Pelodiscus sinensis: one gene and its partners. The protein of the gene in region 2 interacts with the protein of the main gene of each other region in a pairwise test. Links are inferred from orthologs where the notes say so. Each region holds a gene or a part of one and is shown on either strand. Other genes may lie near its edges.

Region 1 (7,121 bases), on a different chromosome or scaffold from region 2:
CGCCTGTCACTGTCTGCCTGAAACGGCACCGCCCTGCCCTGGGCGGGAGGACACAGGCGACCATCAGTCCCCGTTGGCCAGCGGCGGCGTGGGGCTGGTCCCCGAAGATTAGAGAGAGGCGGGAGTGGGGTGGGAGGGGGAATCTTGCACGGGACCCAATCTCGGGTGCAGCAGGAGCCAAACTGCCCTTCCCAGCTCTGTGCAGCTTGATAACGCGCCTCTATGGTGCCGGAGAAGGTGCTGCCTCGCCCGCCTTGCCCGGCTGTTGTCGCAGGCAGGGAGGCCAGAGCGTTGTCCCTCGGGAGGGGGAAACACACCTAGGCTGGCTCCACACTCCGGCCTCGGGTGGCGCGACGGGTGGCACTCGGGGGGTGACTAGTCCACCTTTGTGGGCCCGGCGCTACGTCCGCGGGCGAGCGGCTTCTGCCAACAGACCATGCCTTCGCCCCGGTCCCCACCCAGCCGTGCGTACAGATGTGGCCCTAGAACCCTGCATTGGGGCAGGAGGAAACGGAGCCTCCTTTGCAGCATGATGTGGAGGGCGCTGCGGGGACTGGCCATTGACTTGCATGGGCTTTGGATCCAGCTGTAAAACCTCATCTCCTTTAGGAACTGAGGCCCTGCAAGGTGCCTTCTCCAGCTAAGCAGGGGCGGGTTAGCTTCATGCGCGCTTGGGAACCGGCCCACAGCCGAGCCGTCTGGCAGGGGCGCTGCGCCGTCACAGTGCTGGCTCAGCCCGGGCTGGGGGCGCAAAACCAAGCTGCTGGCCAGATGTGGGCATCCAAAATGTGCTTCTGTCCTGGCCCTTTTCCCAACACTGTCTTGCTGGGCATGGAAATTCCAACAGGTCGCGGCGCGATTCTTCTTTGTGCCCTGGCGGGCTGGGCAGGGCTGGCTGTGTTCCACCCCAGAAGTGGCTGCATCTCAGAGGGAGGAGTTTCATCCCTCCCCTCTGGAGTTCAGACAGCTCTTTGGAGCCCTCTTGGACGAGGGGGGGCAGGCACGCTGGACTTCGACTCCGGGCACTGGGATTCAACTCCTGCTTCTGCCATCTGAGCGTGGAGCCCAGACCTTCCCAGGGTAATTAGGCACCTCACGTCCATGGGAATCAAAGGGAGTGCGGTTCCTAAATCCCTTTGAGAATTGGGACCTGGATCTCTGTACCTCGGCCCCCCTCCTGTACAATCAGGACCCTGCTCCCCTGGTGTATTTGGGTTGTAACCTCTTCGGTAGAGCAGCCACCAGCAGGGAGCCCTGCTCTCAGCTCTCACGGGCCAAGGAAATAAGATCCGGTTGCGGGACTGCGCTCCCACCCCGTCGGGCAAGGGGAGGCGGTGGGTTTCCAGCGCCGGGCGCTCAGAGCAGGGAATGACGCCGCAGGTTGGGCGGGAAGCAGTCACACCAGACAGCCGCTCACCCCAGAACTAGCTCGGAACATTCTCGCGGGGACCAAGCGGGGAGCCGAGGCTGCTGCTCGTGCCCCTGGGAGGTTCTGCTATTTCACAGGTGCAGACTTTCAGCGCCGACCTCTGCGTTTCCTGACACATGTCACCACGCGGAACAACCCCCCCCCCCACGGAAGTGTCCTATCTCCCCGCCTCCCGCCCCACTTGTACCTGAGGAACTGGGCAGGCGTCCCCGTTAACGCCCTGTGCGGAGGGCTAGAAATGAACGAGGGGAAACCTTGTTAGGGTTGATCTGATCTTTACTGGCACAGAGCCCAGCGCTTTGGGGGGAGCTAGCGGATAGATACCGCATGTGGAGACACAAGATCCCAGGTCCAACCGGGATTCTGCCACCCACAACCCCGGTGGCCTTGGGCACGTCACTTCATCTGCTTATGCTTTAGTTCCCCCTCTACTTGGAGCTCATTGGACTGTAAGGAGGATGCAGGAGCTACCTGCCCCGGGGCTTGGCGTCGCTCTGCAAAGACCTGCCTTTCCCGTGAGCGAGCCAGGGCCCAGGGAAGAGAAGGCAGGCGCCAGGTGGACACTTGCAAGTCAAGTTGAAGATCAGGTTCCCCTTAGGGTCGGATCTGAGTTAAGACTGCACCTCCCCCCAGAACACGGCCACAGTCAGACACGGTTACTCGGCCCTCTGAGCTTACAGGCAGCGCACGCAGGACAGACGGACACCGCGGCACAACGGACGGAGCGATTTCTCGCAGGCTGCATCTACACTGCACGGCTATTTTGGGAGATTTTTTGAAATAACGGGCGCTATAAGGGAAGGTGCGACAGAGCCTCTTATTTCGAACTTCGGCGCCGTGGAGACGGGCCAGATTTCAAAATTGCCTATTTCGAAATAAGAGGCGCGATGTGCAAGTCTGATCCCAGTGCAGGGGGCTGTGTGGACGGGGCCAAAAGCCAAGTTCGGCGTGTGGGGCGCTAGCCACTAGGCCGTACTGCCTCCCCAAAGGCAAGATCATTTTCTGTCCTTCCCTTTCTACTGGGCAGAGCCGGCCCAGCTGCCCCTTTGCGGAGCCTTCATGCCCCTAAGTGTGAGATGCCCGGGATCTCGGCACCTGGCCGGCCCAGCCGCGGGCCCCGCCTACCTGCAGGTAGTTGCTCTCGCAGTAGTCGGCCAGCCTGTGCAGGTTGCTGTAGTTGTCCCGCAGGACTTGCCTGGCCGCGGGGATTTCATGCTGCTGCCGCTCGGCCATGCTGCGCGCCGCTTCCTCCTGCGCGCCAGCGGCTCCCCAGGCAGCCCGGGCGCTGCGCTGCGCTCATTGGCGGGCGGGGCGCGCAGTCCCACCCCGCTGCGCACCTGCCCCTCTGCGCCACCGGGGGGCCCCAGCCTGCCCCGGCCACTCGCCCCGCCAGCCCGGGGGCCGCTTCGGAGGGACCCGGCTTTCAGCGCCCGCTGGGATCCGTGCGCCCCCCTTCCCGTGCGCACTCGGGAAACTTAGGAACGGCCCGGAGAGGAAACGTGGCTCCCACGCGCTGTGGGGCGCGGGGCGCAGCTGGCCCGGGGGGAGCTGGTGTCAGACCCTGCGGTGATCCTCCGGGGGAAGGGGTGGGGGGAAGAGGGGCCGTCCGGGCGGGGTTTGCCAGCCGCAGGGGAAGCGCTGGGGGCGGCCGAGGAAAGCCACAGCGAGAGGGGACGTGAGTCATGGCAGAAGAACAAGGGGCGCTGGAAACAGAAACATTCCAAGAAAGTCCCAGCGGCCAGGGAGCTAAACTGTCCCGCAACGGGCTCCCGGGCGGCCACGCGTGTCCGCGCCCACGTGTACAGCCGAAGCTGGCTGCTGTGCTTGGGGTGAAGCTGCGACTCCCCGGTAGCCCAGCGACCAGGGCCGACGTATCCAGTAGGCTCAGTGCCTGGGCCCCGCGATACTTTTAGGGGCCCACGAAAATGTTTTAATTTCTTTTAAAATCAGAAGGAAAAAAAACCTTTTAGGGTCGAAGAAAGGCTACGTCTGCATCGCGGCTTCTTGCGGGAGTAATATGCAAATGAGGCTAAGCGTGGAATATCGCCCAGCCTCATTTGCATACCTAATGAGCCACCATTTTTTTCAGAAGAGGCTCTTGCGCAAGAAAAACCCTCGGCTGCGTCTAGATTGCACCCTCTTTTCGTAAAAGGGATGCAAATTAGACGTATCGCAATTGCTAATGAAGCGGGGATTTAAATCTCCCCCGCTTCATTAGCATAAAAATGGCTGCCGCTTTTTTTCGGCACGAAGCTTTGCTGGAAAATAGCGCCAGTCTAGACACGGATCTTTCGGAAAATAAAGCCTTTTCCAAAAGGCCCTCTTAAAATAAGGGATAAGGGAGCTTTCAGAAAAGGCTTTATTTTCCGAAAGATCCGCGTCTAGACTGGCGCTTTTTTCCGGCAAAGCTCCGTGCTGAGGGATGCAATCTAGACATAGCCCCCTTGCGCAACGCCGTTACACCTATTACTTGACAGGAAGAACGGCGTTGCGCAAAAGGGTTTTTCTTGCGCAAGGAGGGGCAGTGTAGACGCTTCTTGCGCAAGAGCCTCTTCTGAAAAAATGGTGGCTCATTAGGTATGCAAATGAGGCTCGGCGATATTCCACGCTTAGCCTCATTTGCATATTACTTGCGCAAGAAGCCGCGAGTGGGAACATAGTCAAAATGTTTTAATATTTTTCTCACATCAGAAAAAAATGAAACTTTTAGGGCCCACGAAAATCGATTCAATTTTGCCTAAAACAGAAAAAAAAATGTTGAAGTATTTAAAGTTATATCAAAAATCATTTTTACAATTGATATTATTATGGGGGGGGGCCCACGAAGGCAAAGGTGCCTATGGCCCACCAAAGTCATAATGCGGCTCTGCCATCGACAGGGTCAAATCCCGGCCCCACGGCACGCGGTGAGTGGGGAGTGTGACCGAGTCGGGCTACCGGGGAGCAGTGGAGGGGAAATCTATTAGCCCCGGATTAAATAGGTCTCTGTTCCCAGCCTAGACTAACGAGGGCTGATCCAGAACCAGCAGGAACCTGCTAGAATCAGTCAGCGCAATCAGGCCAATGAAAACACTTAGCACCAAGCAGGAGGCTTCCAGACTCACAGGGGCCGGACTGAGGCTGGTTTAAAAGGGCTTTTTCCTTCTGCTTGCTCTGCTGCGAGGAGGGAGCTGAGGAGAGTGAGGGGCGGGGGAGGCTGGGAGGAGAAAGCGCAGGTGGGTACCAGGGTGGAAGGGCGTGGCCCGTGGGGAAGTGGCCTGTGGATTTGTAGCGGTTACCAGAGACGTTCCAGACAGCGGCTGCTGCGGGGGCCCTGGGCCGGAGCCTGCGGTAAAGGACAGGCCCGGTTCTCGCCAGCAGCTCCCCATTGTACGACTAGGAAGAACCGGTTTGGGTGCACGCAGGGCTGGATCAAGCCATTCCGGCGCCCCGGGCAGATAGTTCAATTGTGCCCTGGGTTGGGGGAGGGTGCATGCGCGGCCTCGCCCCCGTGCTGGTGTGCGGGGGAGGGTGCATGCATGGTCCCGCCCCCGCCCAGCACGAGGGGGAGGGCACGTGGAGCTGGCGGCGGCAGGATGCACGTGCCCGGCCCGGCCCAGCCTGGCTACTGCTGCTGGTGCGCAGCCCGGGGCCGCCTGGGGCGGGACGAGCCTGGCCGTGCAGGGCCCCACAGCCATGCGGGTAATGGCGTTGCTGGCCGGCGCCGTGGGGGTTAACGCAGCCCCTGCCCTGGGAGCCGGCTGTGTGGCGCCTGATGGCAGCTCTAAGGGGTGCCACGCGCCCGGCTGCACAGCGCCCCTCACAGCTGCCATCCAGCGCCCCCCATAGGTTGGCACCTGGGGCAGCTGCCTGGCTAGCTCATGCCTTAATCCGGCCCTGGGTGCAAGGGTTTGTCCTCCCTGCACTCCCGGGAGGGGCAGCAAAGACGAGGAAGTTTGGTTTCCCCTCTTCCCCGTGCTGGCCTGCGATGGGAGTCTCCACAAACAGCGAGCCGGTGTCTGAAGGGAGGCAAGTCAACCCCCGAGAGCTCAGGCCCCAGGTGGAGGGGGAGCTTTGTCGCAGGAGTTAGGGACGAAATCCGCTAGGACGTGGCTTCCTCCTGCTTGGCGGGACCCAGGTTTCCAGCAGAGGCGGGCCCGGGCCAACCCTCCGATCTAACCCGCGCTGAGCCGGGACAGTTCACACTGGGCCACGGACTCCTCTCGGCCGGCCAGAGCTCACGGAGGGGCTGGCAGTGCCCTCACGCTGCCCCGCAGCCGCCCCGCCGCGGAGCCACACGCAGCCCCAGCCTGGGTATCGTCCAGTCCACGGTACGATGTGCAGCGGGGGGGGAGGGGTTTCCATCCCAGCCCCTCTGGGCAGATCAAAGGGCAGCTCGGCCCAGCTGGAGAGTCTCCCAATGCGAGCACTTGCCAGTAGACACAGAGGCCGGGTTCATCTGCCCCTGCGCCGCCAGCTCCCCCAGCTCCGCCCTTCTCCATTTGGCCGATGGCCCGGGGGGGGGTAGCCAATCTGCACTTGAGAGATGCTCCTAGGCTGCTCCAATCAGACGTCGTTCTAGCAAGGACCTCCAAGAGTCGAAAGCCCAGCCCTGACCGTCTTCCCCCAGCCTCCACCCATGGGGATTCCCCGGATGCTGCTCCAGAGCTCCCTCCCCCGAGAGCCAGCAAATGTTCCTTGCGTCTAACCCAGCCCTGCGGCTGCGGCGTGAGCCCTATTCCAGGGGATGGGGGAGCCCCGGGGCACCAGGCTTGTGACGACAGCCTCGCCCTCGCCAGAGCTGAAGCCTGTTGTCAAGTCCCCCCCAGGACCAAACCTCTCCAGGCGTTGGAACCGTCCCACCCACGTCAGGTTTTCGAAACATTTTCTCATTTTTGTTGCTCCCCTCTGGACTCTCCTCAACCGGTCCATGGTCTCCCCACGGCGCCAGGCCCAGACCCGGCCACGGAATAGCAAAGGAGGCCTCCCCAGAGCAGGGCAATTACCCGCCACGTCTCACGTACACCGGGCCTGTAAATACGCCCCACAACGATCTTCGGATTGTTCACAGCTGCATCCCCCTCCTCACTCCCAGCCAATCTGTGTTTCACTAGACGCCCCGGTTCCTTCCCTCCTCCCCCGCCATTGTCATCCTTTGGGTTTTCCCCTTTGCTCTGCAGAGACGGCGAACGAGGCTGCCGAGGCGGGTTATGTGGGGGGGAGACGGCGAACGAGGCAGCCGAGGCGGGTTGTGTGAGGGGGGAGACGGCGAACGAGGCTGCCGAGGCAGGTTGTGTGGGGGGGAGACGGTGAACGAGGCAGCCGAGGCGGGTTGTGTGAGGGGGGAGACGGCGAACGAGGCAGCCGAGGTGGGTTGTGTGAGGGGGGAGACGGCGAACGAGGCTGCCGAGGTGGGTTATGTGGGGGGGAGGCGGCAAACGAGGCAGCCGAGGCGGGTTGTGTGAGGGGGGAGACGGCGAACGAGGCTGCCGAGGCAGGTTGTGGGGGGGGGAGACGGTGAACGAGGCTGCCGAGGCGGGTTGTGTGAGGGGGGAGATGGCCAACGAGGCTGTTGAGGCGGGTTGTCTCAGGGGGAGACGGTGAACGAGGCTGCCGAGGCGGGTTGTGTGAGGGGGAGACGGCGAACGAGGCTGCCGAGGCGGGTTGTGTGAGGGGGGAGATGGCCAACGAGGCTGTTGAGGCGGGTTGTCTC
Region 2 (6,972 bases):
TCATTCCTCCTCCATTAATGTCATGAATGATTGCAGTCTTTGACCACTTACCACATTTTTGGAGTAGCCCTCTATCAAAAATTATTTGCCATCCCTAGTTTGCCCTATACTATATAGCAGTGGTTCCCAACTTTTTTTATACCGTGGACCAGTAAACCCATCCACAAACTTTTGGCAGACCGGTAACATTTTATTTGCATATTCAGTATGCAAATAATGAATGCACAAATAAAATATTACTGGTGCGCCAAAAGCCCCAACCCCCAGAGCCACCACAAACAGCTGGCTTCAGCTCCGGCAGTTGCAACATAGCAGGCAGCTGGCGCAGCTGAAGCTGGCTGTTTGCAGTGGCTCCGAGAGGTACCCTTACCTCCCCCATCCCCCGCCAGCTCTAAACCCTAGAACCCCCCGAACCCTCCACTACTCCCCAGCGCCAGCCACTGACCCAAGTCCCCTGCACCCAATCCTCCCCAGTGCCAGACTCCCATCTTCAGAGCCCCCCAATGCCAGCCCCCATCCCAAATGCCTCAGTGCCAAGCCCCCATATCTTAAAGCCCTCCACCACCAGGTCCCTTAGTGCCAGCCTCCTTTTTCAAGAGCCCCACTGCACCCAACCCCCAGAACTCCCCCAGTGCCAGACTCCAATATTAGCCCCATCCCCAGAGTCCCCCAGTGCCAGCCCTGCCCCATAGACCTCCCCCACTATTAGCCCTGCCCCTGAATCCGCCCAGTGCCAGTTCCCCACCACAGATGCCCCAGTGCCCCCCAGTGTCAGCTCTTCACCTCTTAGAACTCCCCACTAAGAGCTCCCCAGTACAAGCTCCACCTGCAGAGCCCCTCCAAAGCCAGTCCCTGGCCTCTTGGAGCTAGCCCTACCCCCAGAGCACCCAGTGCCTGCCCTGCCCTGCACCCTCCCTCCCCAACTAGCCCTGCGCTGCATCCCAGCCACCAGCTGAGCACTGCTGTCAGGTTGCAGGTGTTCTAAGGCTGCTATGCTAGGCTTTGTGTGACCCTCCTGCTGCGCAGCGAACCGCTCTTCTGTATCCCAGAGGAAACACTGTCCCTGCCTGGTGCTGATTGGCTGAGAGGCAGAGCAGAAAATGTCTCTTCCACCAGCTGCGGCGGGAGGGGAAGCACTTGGCAGTGTACCCCAGCGCCGGCCCCAGAGCCGCCACAGCCCAGTAGCCAGAGATTTGTGGCCCAGCACCAGTCCACAGACCAGCAGTTGGGGATCATTGTTATACAGATTTCATGGGTAGATCAGTATCCTGACCCTAAAGGAAGTTGCAGAGGGCTCAAGAGGTTATAGGGTGGAGGGGAAGTGTGCAACATTCCTACCCTAACTTCTGCACTGCCTTAAGATATGGGTGGCTGGAGAGTGGCAGCTGTTAGTCAAATGCCCAGCCTGTAAGACAGTGTCCTGCAAGCAGCAATGGAAAAGGGTGGCAATACCCTACCAGGTCATCCTTATCTCCGTGCTGCTTACTGGAGTGGCGCTGTCTTTACCGGGCTCCAAAATAACAGCCTCCACTCTCCAGATTCCCAGTTCTGAGGTTTACAGAAGTAAGGGTAGCCTCTATACAAAACCATGATACGCCCACAACTTGAATACTGCACACAGATCTGGTCGCCTCATCTCGAAAAAGATATATTGGCATTGGAAAAGCTTCACAAAAGGGCAACAAAAATTACTGGGGTTTGGAATGGGTCCCTTATAAAGAGAAATTAAAAAGACTTGGATTTATCAGCTTAGAAAAAAGGAGACTAAGGGGGAATATGATAGAAGTCTATAAAATCATGACTGGTGTGGAAAAAGTGAATAAGGAAAATACTTATTCCGTTAAAATAACAACTAAGGGTCACCAAATGAAAATAATAGGCAGCAGGTTTAAAACAAACCAAAGGAAGTTTTTCTTCACTCAGCACACAGTCAACCTCTGAAACTCCTTGTCAGAGGATGTGGTGAAGATTAGGACTTTAACAGGATTCAAAAGAGAGCTAGCTAGATTCATGGAGGTTAGATTCATCAATGGCTATTACCCAGGATGGGTAGGAATGGTGACCCTAGCCTTTGTTTGTCTAGAAATGCATGACAAAGGAGGGATCACTTGATGATGACCTGTTGTGTTCCCTCCCAGTCTAGGGCATCTGGTATTGACCACTGCTATGTCAGCAGACAGGAAATTGGGTTAGATCAGGGTTTCCCAGCCTATGGGTCGCCATTACACTTCAAAAGGGTCGCCAGGTGTCTCCCCAGGTGGCTGTTAAGGAGCCATTCACACTTTTTCTGAATTGCCCTGGGTCACCGAGTCTTGCTGACTTCTCAAAATTGGTCCCCCTCTGAAAAAGGTTGGGAACCGCCGGGTTAGATGGACCTTTGGTTTGATCCAGTCTGGCCATTCTTATGGCTCAGCCCCTCTCCCGCCCAGGACCATTTCTCACGGGAATTCGCCAAGAATCCTACAGAGAATCCAGCGCCCAGCCCGCCGCTCTGCGGGGGAAGGAGACTTAAGGGCCCCGGCAGAACAAAGCGAAGGGACGCAGGGTCCCTGCCCGCCCCGGCCTCCGGGACGAAGTACAGAAAACTTCGGCGCCCCAGCTCTGGGGAGCGGGGCCAAGACTGAAACAGACGCGGGGCGGCGGGGCCGGGAGGTGGCACCAGGCACGCAGAGAAAGCCCCCTCTTGCCACTCCGCCCGCTTTTTCAAGGAACCTCCCCCCGCAGCGGCTGCGCCGTCCCCGCACCCACCGGAGGCTCCTGGCGGCGGTTTGTATTTTACCGGCAATTGAAGCCCAGCCGCGGGAACCGCCTCCTACCGCGTCCGCATTGGCAGATTCATCGCTCGCTCTCCGCCGCCTACCCGCCAGAGCGCACTCTGGGTCAGCCCTACAGCGAGGTCGCGTTGCCGGGCGGCTCTCGCGGGCGGGGCAGGGTCACTAACATTTAGGCTTGGCCATTAGCCAGGTTCGGCTCGTGCAGAATCTGCCAACACGAATCTGACAACAGCTTCCGCTTCCGGGAAGTCTCGGGTGCTGACGTCACTTCCACCAACAACAGCGACATCAAAACTAAGGAACGAGAAGGGGGCGGCGGCGGCGCCGCAGGAGGGTTTTTATCTTCTTCTCTCCCCCCTCCCTCCCCCCCAGTACGCGGGGTTTCCTGAGTTCGTTCCCAGCCGGCGAGGTTCACGCACCGACTCGGCTCGTCGCGGCGGCGGTTGGAATCGGAGCTTGGGAGAGGTACGAGAGACCCTCGAGCTGGGTCCGTGGGGTCGGTGTGGAATGATGGGCGCCGCAGCCAATCAGAGATCGGCGCTAGGGCAGAGTTGTCTGACAGGGCCAATCTGGCGCAGGGGCGGGACTTTCCCTGCCCGAGCGGGTCTGTGAGAGAGTCAGGGGCTCGGAGCCGGCTCTGGGGCTGCTGAGCCTCTGGCCGGCCGGCTCCTGCCTCATTCGCGCCGCGCGTTTAGTGCCTGCGCCTGCCCGCTGCCTCCCAGCGCAGCACCGATGCCCTTTCGGTGCCCCCCAAACACCACCCACTTACTTCCTTTTCTCCTTGGGGCGCTGCGGGCGGTGATGGGTTTAGTGTTTGTTGTCCACGAGCGGGGGGAGCTTATTCGAGTAAGAGGGCGGGGAAGGTGACTCTACAGCAGGCTGATCATGATTCCGAGTTACTTGGAGGACCGTGTGTGGGAGTAACGTGTGACCTAGAAGTGGGGCTCGGGAGGGAAAAGAGGCTGCTGTTGACGTTTTGGATTCCCCGAGGAGACAGTGACAGCTCCGCTTATCACGGCCATGAGCAAACTGAAGCATCTTTTAAGTAACTCTAATAGTAGTTTAAAAAACTTCCTACTTAATGCACCTCGAGCATCTAGCATCCATGTTCAGTAATAATTGTAATGATGCTTCATGGCTTGAATACCTCTGATTGTAAGAGAAGGTGCACAGTGTAATGGGGCTTTGTGCTCACCAAGGGGTGGAATTTTACATTTCTCCAAGGGAACTGGCATTTGCCTTAAACCAAAACAGTCACAGATGTGAGAGCAGGCCAGTAACATTGATGTATATATACCTGCAGTTTCACACAATATAGTATTGCTGTCAGTGAGACTATGCGTTGACTTTTAGTAGTCTGCAACACACAGCAGCACTGTAATACAGTGTTATTTACCATAACATAGCACACAGAAGTCCTGTGCAGGATTGGGGCCTGGTTGTGTTAAGCTCTGTGCAGAAACAGGTAAATGGGGTAGCGAATATATAAATAAATGTTAGTGGTTATCCCTACTCACAAGAGTAGACCAATCAAAGAGCCTGAATGAGTAGGGAGTACAATGTTGAGGTCTTGGAAATTGATGCCTAAATGAATTTTTTTGGCATCAACATTGAAATCTGAAACTTTCCAATAGAAAATTAAATGGACTACAATAAAAATACATTTATTTGTTATGTTCAAAAGCTTCAGGGGGTAGCCGAGTTACCCAAATTAATCTAAAGAAGTGTGGTGTGCCCATGAAAGCTCATGTTTTATTAGTCTTTAAGGTGCTGCTAGACTATTCATTGTTTAAGTTTTTCCAGTTACTTTTTAGTTACTCAGATGTTTTTAGGCCAAGAAATGATTTTCCTAATCATATTGTAATAGTTTCTAAAGTGTTCATCTTGATTACTGAAAAACTGAAAATAATTACTTGATGGAGAAAAATAAGACACCTGCTCTAACAAATGCTAGATAATCTATTAAACTGTTACAGATACATTTTAAACTAGCTATGCACTGATTATGATAAAGCCATAAGATGTAATGTATCTCAATCTGTCACATCCATCAAATCTGCTCATTTGGTAATTAACATAAAAAAACTAAGCATAAGAACTGCTATTGTACTACTTGTGTTCGTATCTCTGAATATCAGGAAAACTTACTCCATAAAGTGAAATTGATTAGAAGTGATTGTGATCTGATTTATGTGTTTACCATAAGATTGGCTTTTGTGTATAAAAGCCCCATGTACTTGATTGTTCTGTGTTTCACTTGAAGGCCTTTAACAGGAAGGCCTTAATCACCTGCAATTGTTATTAACACCAATACTACATATAGACAATCTGTCTTGCAGCAGATCAGAAGCTATAATAAAAAAAAAAATCCCTTGAGTGTTTGCCTGCGTAAAGTCCACTTGATAACTCAGCAGGCATGATCATTCCATAGCCTATTTCTGATGATGATGCTGTTCTTTATTTCTCACTTATAAACCTCTCTGGAATACTCTGACTTGAAAAAATAATCATCTTTCAATGTCTTGTAATACTAGAAAAAGTGACCGCTTGAGTTAGCGGCGAGGAGTCCGGTGGCACCTTATAGATTAACTGCAGTGTAGGAGCATATGCTTTCGTGGGCAAAGACCCACTTCGTCAGATGCACGCATGCATGCATGCATCTGACGAAGTGGGTCTTTGCCCACGAAAGCTTATGCTCCTACACTGCAGTTAGTCTATAAGGTGCCACAGGACTCCTCGCCGCTTTTGCAGATTCAGACTAACACGGCTACCCCTCTGATACTTGAGTTAACAATCTTCATTGTGGGATTCTCCTCACACCTTTAGATCCCTGAGGATTCTTCTCCTATACAGTGGGTGGACAATAATTTTAGAAGGGGGGCCACTTCATAAATTCTTGAAGTGGCCCTGGGCTGCCCTGGAAGGGGTGGCACCAGGACACTTCTGTGCTTCCCCACCCACAGTCCCTGATTGGCCAGGCGGTTGGGGAGCAAGTGAAGTCTCTGCCCCTGCCACCCCTCCACCACCAGCCCCCAGAGAGAACTGCCAGTTGTTCTGAAGAGCTGGCAGTTCCTTCTAGGCACCCGCACCCCTGGCAACGGGAAGAGACTTTGCACGCTCCCCTACCCCTGTGGGCATAGTAGCGTGCAAAGTCTCTCACTCCCTGCCCCTGCCCCTGTTCAGCTGATGGTTCACTCTATGTGCCACATGCCCCTGGTGGGGGAGGAGATTTTGCATGCTCCCCTATCCCCACACAATGATTGGCTTGGGAGTAGGGGAGAGGCAAGGTGTCCGTGGGCTGAATCAACTTGCTTGGCGGGCCGGACCAACCTGGGGAAGCTCTCTTACCCCGTCCTATACGCTTTTTTTTCTCCTTTTTCACGTCTCAGTATTGTTGATCTCTTGTTGTCTAATTATTATATCATTTGTTTAGTTCCAGCAATATCCTCAGCACTGTACAATGTGCAAAAACAAAGATCATCCCTGCTTCAAAGAACTACAGTTCAGAAGATATTCTCAGAGGACAGGGTCACTGGATATATACACTGGTAGGGATATATTAGATTCTACAAGAGCCTATTAGAGTACGATGGGCTTAAGACTTAAGTTTAACATTACTGTTTATCTGTTAGTGTAGTAATCAGATGGGTAGCTGTGTAAATCTGTGTCTGCAAAAACAATCGAGAGTCCTGTGGCACCATGGGTCTGGTGTACACTAGGGAGTTATTTTGCAATATCCCTTATAACAAGTGAAGCATCCACACTGCCAAGACCGTTATTTTGAAATAACTCCTTCTCTCCATGAAGAATAATGCTTATTTTGAAATAGTTATTTTGGAAGTTATTATTTTGAAATAAGTTTGAAATAATTTGCTAGTGTAGACATGCCCTTAGAGACTAACATATATATTTGGGCATGGTCTTTGCCTTCGAAAGCTTTTGCTCAATTAAATCTGTTTGTCTTTAAGGTGCCACCGGACTCGTTGTAATCTGTTCATTGACAAAGACATCAGAAGTTCTGAATATGAAGAGCCTCTAACATTTGCAGCTACAGTTTTTCAAGTTTATTTGCTGCCAATGCTTGAGTTACACACAGAGCTGGGGCTGGCTGAAGTCTCACAGATCTGGAAACTCAACAGTTTTCTAAGATCTATGCGTGTATAGTGCCTAGCACAGTGGGAATTCTAATTTCAGTTGG
Region 3 (7,692 bases), on a different chromosome or scaffold from region 2:
AGTACTAACAAAGTCAGTACAAACCAAAATTTCATATAGACAACTACTTGTTTATACTGCTTTATATACTATATACTGAAATATAAGTACAATATTTATATTTCAATTTATTTTATAATTATAAGGTAAGCATGAGAATGCAAGCACTATTTCAGTAATTCAGGAAACTCCCACCTTACGATGGCCCGAGTTCCAATCCCCTGTACTTAACGGCCATTTTTTTAAGTGCGGAAGGGGCTGAAATCCCCACCTTATGTCCTCAGCCTACTGTAAATGTGGGTTCGAGTTACGATGCCCCCAACTTGCGACACTATCCCAGGAACCGATCGAGTCGCAAGTCAGGGGCAGCCTGTAGTATGCTATGGCTCTTTTGAATTTTTATGTCTGATTTTGCAAGCAAGTACTTTTTAAGTGAGGGGAAAGGGTTGCACAAGACAAATCAGACTTCTGAAAGGATTCAGTAATCAGGAAGGGTTGAAAGCCATTGATCTGGGACAACTGCCTGTATATATCACAGGCCACTAAACATCACCCAGTCACTCCCACACTAAGCCTAACTACTAGAATTAGACCAAAGTATCTCAGCTCTCAAAAAACAAACTATTATGCACCACAGGCAGAGAACACAAGGGACTGAGATGCTGGAGCAGCTGGAAATGGAATTGGTTAGAGATGGAACCTAAAAATGGCGTGGAATTGTATGTAGTTAATGAATAAAAGATCCCCTTGCTCACTGCCCTAACTGGAGCCTCTTGTTGTTACTTTATGTTCTTGTTCTTACTCACTTAATTCAAAGGACAATAGGATTGCGGGAAGCATTACAGGCAGGACTCTGAGTTGGAACTCAGCAGCTCTGCAGGTGCAAACCAATTTAAATTGGGGAGCTGGCTTGGTTCCCTTCAATCAGGAATTGAAGATGGAGGGGAGTGGCGACACAGTTGGGATTCCCCCAATTCTGCACCCCTGTAGCAGCAAGAACAGATTCCACCAGCAGTAGAATAGAGGGGTTTTATTGCTTTTCTAGGATACAGTACAGCATAGACGTGATGTGATAAGAATCAGGGCCAGGATGTTTCAGACCCCTTGGGTTAGGGGCATAGGTGTGCACAGCACATTTCATTAGGGTGTGCACCCAAATCATTTTTTTTAAATGTACTCTTTGACCCCCATTCGCCACGCCTCTGGAGCTAATACTTTCAGGGCAATATGGACACATGACCAGAAATAAAAGGTTTCATGTGACATCCCCCCCAAGGACTTTTCCCACCATCCTCCTACCAATAGGGATAAGTTTGGCCCTCACCAAACCCCCCTCATGCAACTATCCCACGACTGCATTAACCCATTGGCTGAGTCTACATTGGAACCCTTTTCCGGAAAAGGGATGCTAATGAAACCAGTCGGAATTGCAAATGCCGCGGGGGATTTAAATATCCCCCGCAGCATTTGCATGAACATGGCTGCCGCTTTTTTCCGGCTCGGGGCTTTGCTGGAGAAAAGCGCCAGTCTAGACGGGATCTTGCGGAAAATAAGCCCTTTTCCGGAAGATCCCTTATTCCTACTTGAAAGCCTTGCTCCACCCCTGCCTTCCTCATGCCCACCCCTTCTTTCAAGTCTTCTCCCAGCACCTCCCTTTCTCCCCTCTAGCCCCCAAAGCCCTTCCTCTCTCCTCTCCTAGCATCATCCTGTCCCCCGCTCTCATTGACACTTCCCCTCCTGCCCTTTTCCTCATTGTCTGCACTTGGCCCCCTGGCATTTGTGTCTCACCTCCACCCTGTCCCTTGGTGCCATCTCCTTTCTTCTCCTGACCTGTCCCCCTCCCCTCAGCACAAGCCCCTTCCTCTCTGACCCTTTCCCCCTATTTTTCCCTGCCAGATGGTCTGTAACAGAGTTCTAGGGTCGCCCTGACTATCACCCTTCTGGTGCTCCCCCTACTCTGTCTTTCTTAGGTTTCTCAGCCTCCTTTTGGGCCACAAACTCCCACCCCACAGTCTCTGGTTCCCAAAGTTCCAGCAGTCTCCCCATCACTTAGTGCCTGCACCGGGTCTGACTCGTAGGATTGCCAGGACAGTCTGGTTTTTGGGCCCTCTGTCCGGTAAAAAAAATCCAGAAAATACCCGACACATGCAATGTCTGGTATTTCCTGGTTTTCCGGCTGAGCGCTAGACTGAAGCCTGGCGGCAGCGGGGGAAATGACTGAAAGGTGGGGCGCAATCGGCACTGGGAGCCTCTAGTTGAGTCTGACTTCTTGGGGAGGAGAAGAAGCTCTATCTCTGAGCATGTTGTGGAGCTGCAGCTGGTAGGATTACCAGGTAGACCACCCCCCAAAAAACCGGACACACTTAATCATGGACCGGGGGGAGGATGGCCAGGAGAAAGGGGTTTGGTGGGAAGCAGAGCTGGTCGGGAGGCCAGGGGCCGCAGGGCTGGCCGAGAGGAAGGGGGGCCAGGGGAAGGAGGTGCAGGAAGCAGAGCTGGGGGGAAGTGTTGAGGAACGCCAGGTTGGCTGGGAGGAAGAGGGGGGATGGGAAGCAGTTCTTGGAGTGCGGGGGCCAGCCACACTGCCCCCGACCTCAGCCCCACTCCTCCCCGGACCAGCCGCGCTACCCCCGACTTCGGACCCCCCCCTCCCTGGGCCAGCTGCGCTGCCCCTGGGTTCCCCCGACCCAGCTGTGCTGCCTCCGGGTCCGCCCCCGACCCCAGCCACGCTGCCCTCGACCCCGGCCCCCCTCCCTGGACCAGCTGTGCTGCCCCCGACCTCCCCACTCTGGGTCAACTGTGATGCCCCCGGACCAGCCGTGCTGCCCCCCGATTCCCCCGACCCTGGGCCCAGCCGCACTACTCCTGACCCGAACCCCCCCAGCAGCTGCACTGCTCCCGATCCCCTGCCCAGAGCACGCCCCCACCTGCCCGGGGTTTAAACTTACCTCTCTTGCCTAGGACGCGGGGTGAAGATGCTGCTCCCTGCCACCTGTTTCTGTGAGGTCCTAAGACCCGCTGGTTTTGGCTGCGCATGCGTGGCAAACCCTGCGCAGCGTCCGTTCCCCAGCGCACCAGGGCGGCCCTTTGAAACATTTGGGTGTGCCTGGGCACACCCGGCACACCCCGTGTACACACCTATGGTTAGGGGTCTATCACCCCTAGCCCTCAGCCCCAGTAACCTTAGTCTCTCTCCCTCATGGTTCCAGCCTAAGACTGACCTTTCCCCCAGGGCACACTTCCTTTGTCCTGTCTCTTTCCTTAAAAAGTAGAACCGGTTTGGCCACTGTCCTGAGGCCCCTCTTGCTGGGCTGTGCTTACAGACAATCGCCAGCGGGGATCCTCCACAGCCCACCGCCCAAACATTGCAACCAGCAAGGTACTGACACTACATCACAAAATGTGGGGGAGTCAGTGGGAATCACACATCACCACACAGGGGGACCCCGGGATACAGAGCCAACATCCTCCCCACTATGCCACAAGGGGTCATGGAAATGTGGCAGGGGCAGATGAGGACAGAGGAGCTCGGGGAGGGGGCCAGGGGAAGATAAGAACAGAGGGGCCGAGGGAACGGAGGAGGCGGGGCAGATGAGGACGGAGGGACCAAGGGGGTCCAGGGCAGATGAGGATAAAAGAGCCGAGGGGGGGGCGGGGCAGATGAGGACAAGTGGGCTGGGGGGGGCAGGGCAAATGAGGACGGAGGGGGCAAGGGGGTCCAGGCCAGATGAGGACAAGAGGGCTGGGGGGGCGGGGCAGATGAGGACAAGGGAGCTGAGGGGGGGTCCAGGGCAGATGAGGACAAGGGGTCTGGGGGGGCAGGGCAGATGAGGACAAGGGGTTTGAGGGGAGGTCCAGGGCAGATGAGGACAAGGAGGCTGAGGGGGGGCGGGGCAGATGAGGACAAGGGAGCTGGAGGGGGCGGGGCAGATGAGGACGGAGGGGCCAAGGGGGTCCAGGGCAGATGAGGACAAGGGAGCTGAGAGGGGGCGGGGCAGATGAGGACAATGGAGCTGAGAGGGGGCGGGGCAGATGAGGACAAGGGGGCTGAGGGGGTCCAGGGCAGATGAAGACAAGGAGGCTGAAAGGGGGGCAGATGAGGACAAGGGAGCTGGGAGGGGGCAGATGAGGACGGAGGAGCTAAGGGGGTCCAGGGCAGATGAGGACAAGGGAGCTGGGGGGCAGACAAGGGAGTTGAGGGGGGCAGACGAGGACAAGGGGGGGCAGGCGAGGGGACTAAGGGGGCAGACGAGGGGGCTGAGGGGGGGCAGGCGAGGGGGCTGAGGGGGGCAGACGAGGACAAGGGGGGGCAGGCGAGGGGACTAAGGGGGCAGGCGAGGGGGCTGAGGGGGGGCAGGCGAGGACAAGGGGGGCAGGCGAGGGGGCTGAGGGGGGGCAGGCGAGGACAAGGGAGCTGGGGGGGCAGATGAGGGCGGGGCGGGGCCGCCTCTCACAATTGCGGTCGGGGGGGGGGGTAAGTCTGCCCGGCGCGAGAGGGGAGGCGCTGCCCGGCCGGAGGCTGCGACCGGCCCCTCGGGCCAGCGGCGGGGCGGGGCGGGGCGAGGCCGAGGCCGGCGCTCGAGAGCCGCTAGCTGCCGGCGGGGGCCGACGCTGGGGGCGCCCGCGTGTGGCCCCGCCCCGGCCCGGCTGGCGCAGGCGGCGCGAGCGGGAGGCCTGGGCGCTGCGCGAGGCTCTGCTGCCCCCGCGCGGGCTGGCGCCGGCCGCAGCGGAGGGCGGGGGCGGGGCTCTGCGCCACCAGGCAGCAGCAGCAAGGAGGAGCCCGCGCGCTCGCGCCCCCTACCCCGCCAGCGCCGCGGCCCAGCACGCAAAAGCGCACGTGAGCCGCCGCGCCATCGCGGTGTTTCTCGTCCCTCCCCCCGCGGCGGCGTGCTGATTGGCTGCGGGGGCCAGCGGCGACGCTCCCATTGGCTGAAGCGTGCGGCGGACTCCGTGTCCCGCGCGCCAGTGCGCGCGCAGCCGAGGCGGCGATGGTGCGGTTCAAGCACAGGTGAGGCAGCGCTCCCTGCTCCGCGCGGCCCCGCCCCCTCCCGTCGCGCGCTAACGCGGCTGCCTCGCCTTGCAGGTACCTGCTGTGTGAGCTGGTGTCCGAGGAGCCGCGCTGCCGGCCGTGCATGGACGAGCGGGCGGTGGGCGCGGCGGTGAAGGAGGCCATTGCCCGCGCCCACGGGGACTACGGGCTGGCGTGCTGCTCCATCTCCTTCACAGGTGCGCGCCCGCCCGACCCCCGGTCAGGCCAACGGGGGCGGGGGGGTCCTGGAGGCCAGTGGCTGCTAAGGAAGGAGGGCTCGGGAGGGACTCGCCTTGCCCCCTTGCAGTGGCTTGTTTCCTTTTAATGGTGTGGCTGCACGAATGTGGAACTAGAACATGAGCTTTTGCTTCCTCCCTAAAAGCGACTTGGAACTTCAGCAGTATAAGAGAGGAGGTTCTGTGAATAAACCAGCATTTCTGAATTACACTCTAATGTTAAGCAATTAAATGTCATTTGTACTAATCAGTTATTTTCTGTGCCCAGTGAAATACCTGAATGCCTACACAGGCATAGTTCTCTTGCGATGCCGAAAGGACTTTTATAGGCTCCTCTGGTCAGCTCTTCCCTTTGTCACTTACTTAGAGAACAGGAACCAGCGCTATTCCTGTTTTTTCAACACATTACATGTTGGAGGTAAGGTTTTCAAGAGTGTTTTTGGTAGCTTGTGACACTTCAATCTCAGAACTTTGAGATCTTGAGTGTCTTACTATTCTTGCAATGATTAGAAAGTAGTGAAGAGCCCTGTTGTTTAATGTTTCTAGTTGTGACAGAAGGTGCGCTCAGATTCTGCCTCACTGAGGCTAATACAAATTTCCCTTTAATGGCTTGAAATAGATAATCCAAAAGCTAAAACATTTTTTGTTGTGCTGAGGCCTCTATACCTCTGGTATTTTTTTCATTCTGCTGAATTGTTCACTACTCTGTTCATTATACTGTTTAAAAACAAAAGCCCACCTACTTTGCATGTGTGACTATTTTCCTAACCCCTATGAATTCAGTATTTACATCAAAGAGCTGGCCACCCCCATCAAACTTGGGTACCATCTGTCCTCAGGAAACTTTTGATTAAGTCTTAAATGAAGGAAAACGACACCTGGTATTGCTGCGGTTTGCAAGTTTGGGCAAATAAGTGTTAACAAATATCAAACGGTGGGAAGTAAGAGTTTTCCTTGCTGTTCAGCCTGGTTTCTGTAGTTTATGGTCTGTGATGTTCTTGTTTTTTGATCCATAACACTCCTACTTCCTGGTTGAACAGGGAGAATACATTATATCATTAAAATGTACTTTTGCTCTGCTCTGTAGTGTTTAATTTGCTTTAGTTCTCTATCATACAGACTTTGTTCCCTTGTTTCTTCAACAGGGACAATAAGAACATGTCAAAAATTTTTAGTTCAGTACAACAGGAAACAGCTCCTGCTACTATTGCATAATTGCACCAGTGAAGGTAAGCGGCTGCTCTATTCCTACCTTTCAAAAAGGACTTTGTTACACATGGACTTTTGGGGACTTGGGTGTTGTTGCAGCCTCTGGTTATTTGGTAGAGCTGGCTGTCTTATCACTGTAGCTATGTAACTCTGTTCTTCCCTCTGAAACCTATTGAATAATGAATTTTTTTCATACTATGCCTCCTCATCATTGTTACAGAGGAAAGACAGTCCATCCAGAAGTCTCTGCTAAGCTGTTCCCTTACAGAAGTGGAGGAGGAGCATTTTCACAGTGGAGATGAAGAAGACTGTGTAGAGACAGACTGAACATAAACTTTAAATCTAATGTGGTGCTTTCTGTAAGGCACTGGGAAAACTACCCTGTTAAAAGATGTCTTGGGCTGCCTGCCCTGTGCTAAGTAAATGAGAATCAAGGCATCTCTAACTGTATTTTGATCTTGTGAAAATAAAGGAAAGGGTAAAACGATTTCTGGTGAAATCACTGGGCAGCAGCCTTAAAATTCAGCTAATGCAGCACTTTTATTTAAGCAAAAGCCTGAATCTCTTCAAGCCAGGAGAGGGGAAATGGAAGGCTACCTTTCAACAAGTTGTCCCCTGGGACACAAATTCTATTAGTTAGAGCTTGCTTAGTTTTTAAAACAGGCCTAAAGACTGCTCTAGGTTAAGCTCCTCCTCCAACTATACCTATCTCTGGGAATCATTCCGGTATTAGATCAGGATTACTTTTTTACAGTAGCTGAGGTGAAACTGAGTTAGTATCCCATAGAGGTTATTTCTTTGAGGATTGTTATAGTGCCCTGCTTCTGAAGTCTGTGGCTAAACCTGTTTGACAGTTAGATGTCTTGAGTAGCTGCCCTGCTACCATCAAGAGACAATACTTATGTCTGGGTATTGATTAAAATGTGTTGGTAATGTATTCAAACTGCTGAGTAAATTGTACTGAAGGAAAGATGCACCATTGCTGCTTTGAGAATGAATCATCCTGAGAGTGGGTGTTTTGCTCTCCACTATTTATGGAAATTCAACCTTCATAAAGTTTAGGCTGCAAAACACCCAGGGCTAAAGCGCATAGCACATCCAGGTTAAAATAGTCATAGCTGTCAAGGGAGGATTGGAGGCATTGTTAAAGGAAAGTTCTATGCATATTTTTATTCAAATTGCCTCAAACTAATTCAGTTTCTCAAGTGGAAGAGCTGGTATAGACAAGCTTGAGAGGGT

What was found.
Region 1: the proteins of CEP44 (region 2) and ABI3 interact in binary tests that used the Homo sapiens proteins (3 or more experiments, as listed by UniProt). The two-hybrid records come from large-scale screens. The link is inferred for Pelodiscus sinensis from reciprocal best matches to the Homo sapiens genes CEP44 and ABI3.
Region 3: the proteins of CEP44 (region 2) and POP5 interact in binary tests that used the Homo sapiens proteins (3 or more experiments, as listed by UniProt). The two-hybrid records come from large-scale screens. The link is inferred for Pelodiscus sinensis from reciprocal best matches to the Homo sapiens genes CEP44 and POP5.

Annotation. Positions count from the first base shown.
Region 1 is NC_134739.1:14,542,438-14,549,558, reverse strand, and holds the start of ABI3 (ABI gene family member 3), read right to left. Parts: upstream 3,010-7,121; 5' UTR 2,663-3,009; coding exon 2,555-2,662; intron 1,081-2,554; exon of another isoform or gene 1-1,080. UniProt on the Homo sapiens protein: May inhibit tumor metastasis. In vitro, reduces cell motility.
Region 2 is NC_134715.1:68,963,266-68,970,237, reverse strand, and holds the start of CEP44 (centrosomal protein of 44 kDa), read right to left. Parts: upstream 3,002-6,972; 5' UTR 2,861-3,001; exon of another isoform or gene 2,749-2,860; intron 1-2,748. Other genes in the region: FBXO8 (F-box only protein 8), read left to right, coding at 6,235-6,322. UniProt on the Homo sapiens protein: Centriole-enriched microtubule-binding protein involved in centriole biogenesis. In collaboration with CEP295 and POC1B, is required for the centriole-to-centrosome conversion by ensuring the formation of bona fide centriole wall.
Region 3 is NC_134725.1:8,837,553-8,845,244, forward strand, and holds the start of POP5 (ribonuclease P/MRP protein subunit POP5), read left to right. Parts: upstream 1-4,683; 5' UTR 4,684-4,967; coding exon 4,968-4,987; intron 4,988-5,062; coding exon 5,063-5,205; intron 5,206-5,512; coding exon 5,513-5,662; intron 5,663-6,389; coding exon 6,390-6,473; intron 6,474-6,673; coding exon 6,674-6,780; 3' UTR 6,781-7,692. UniProt on the Homo sapiens protein: Component of ribonuclease P, a protein complex that generates mature tRNA molecules by cleaving their 5'-ends. Also a component of the MRP ribonuclease complex, which cleaves pre-rRNA sequences.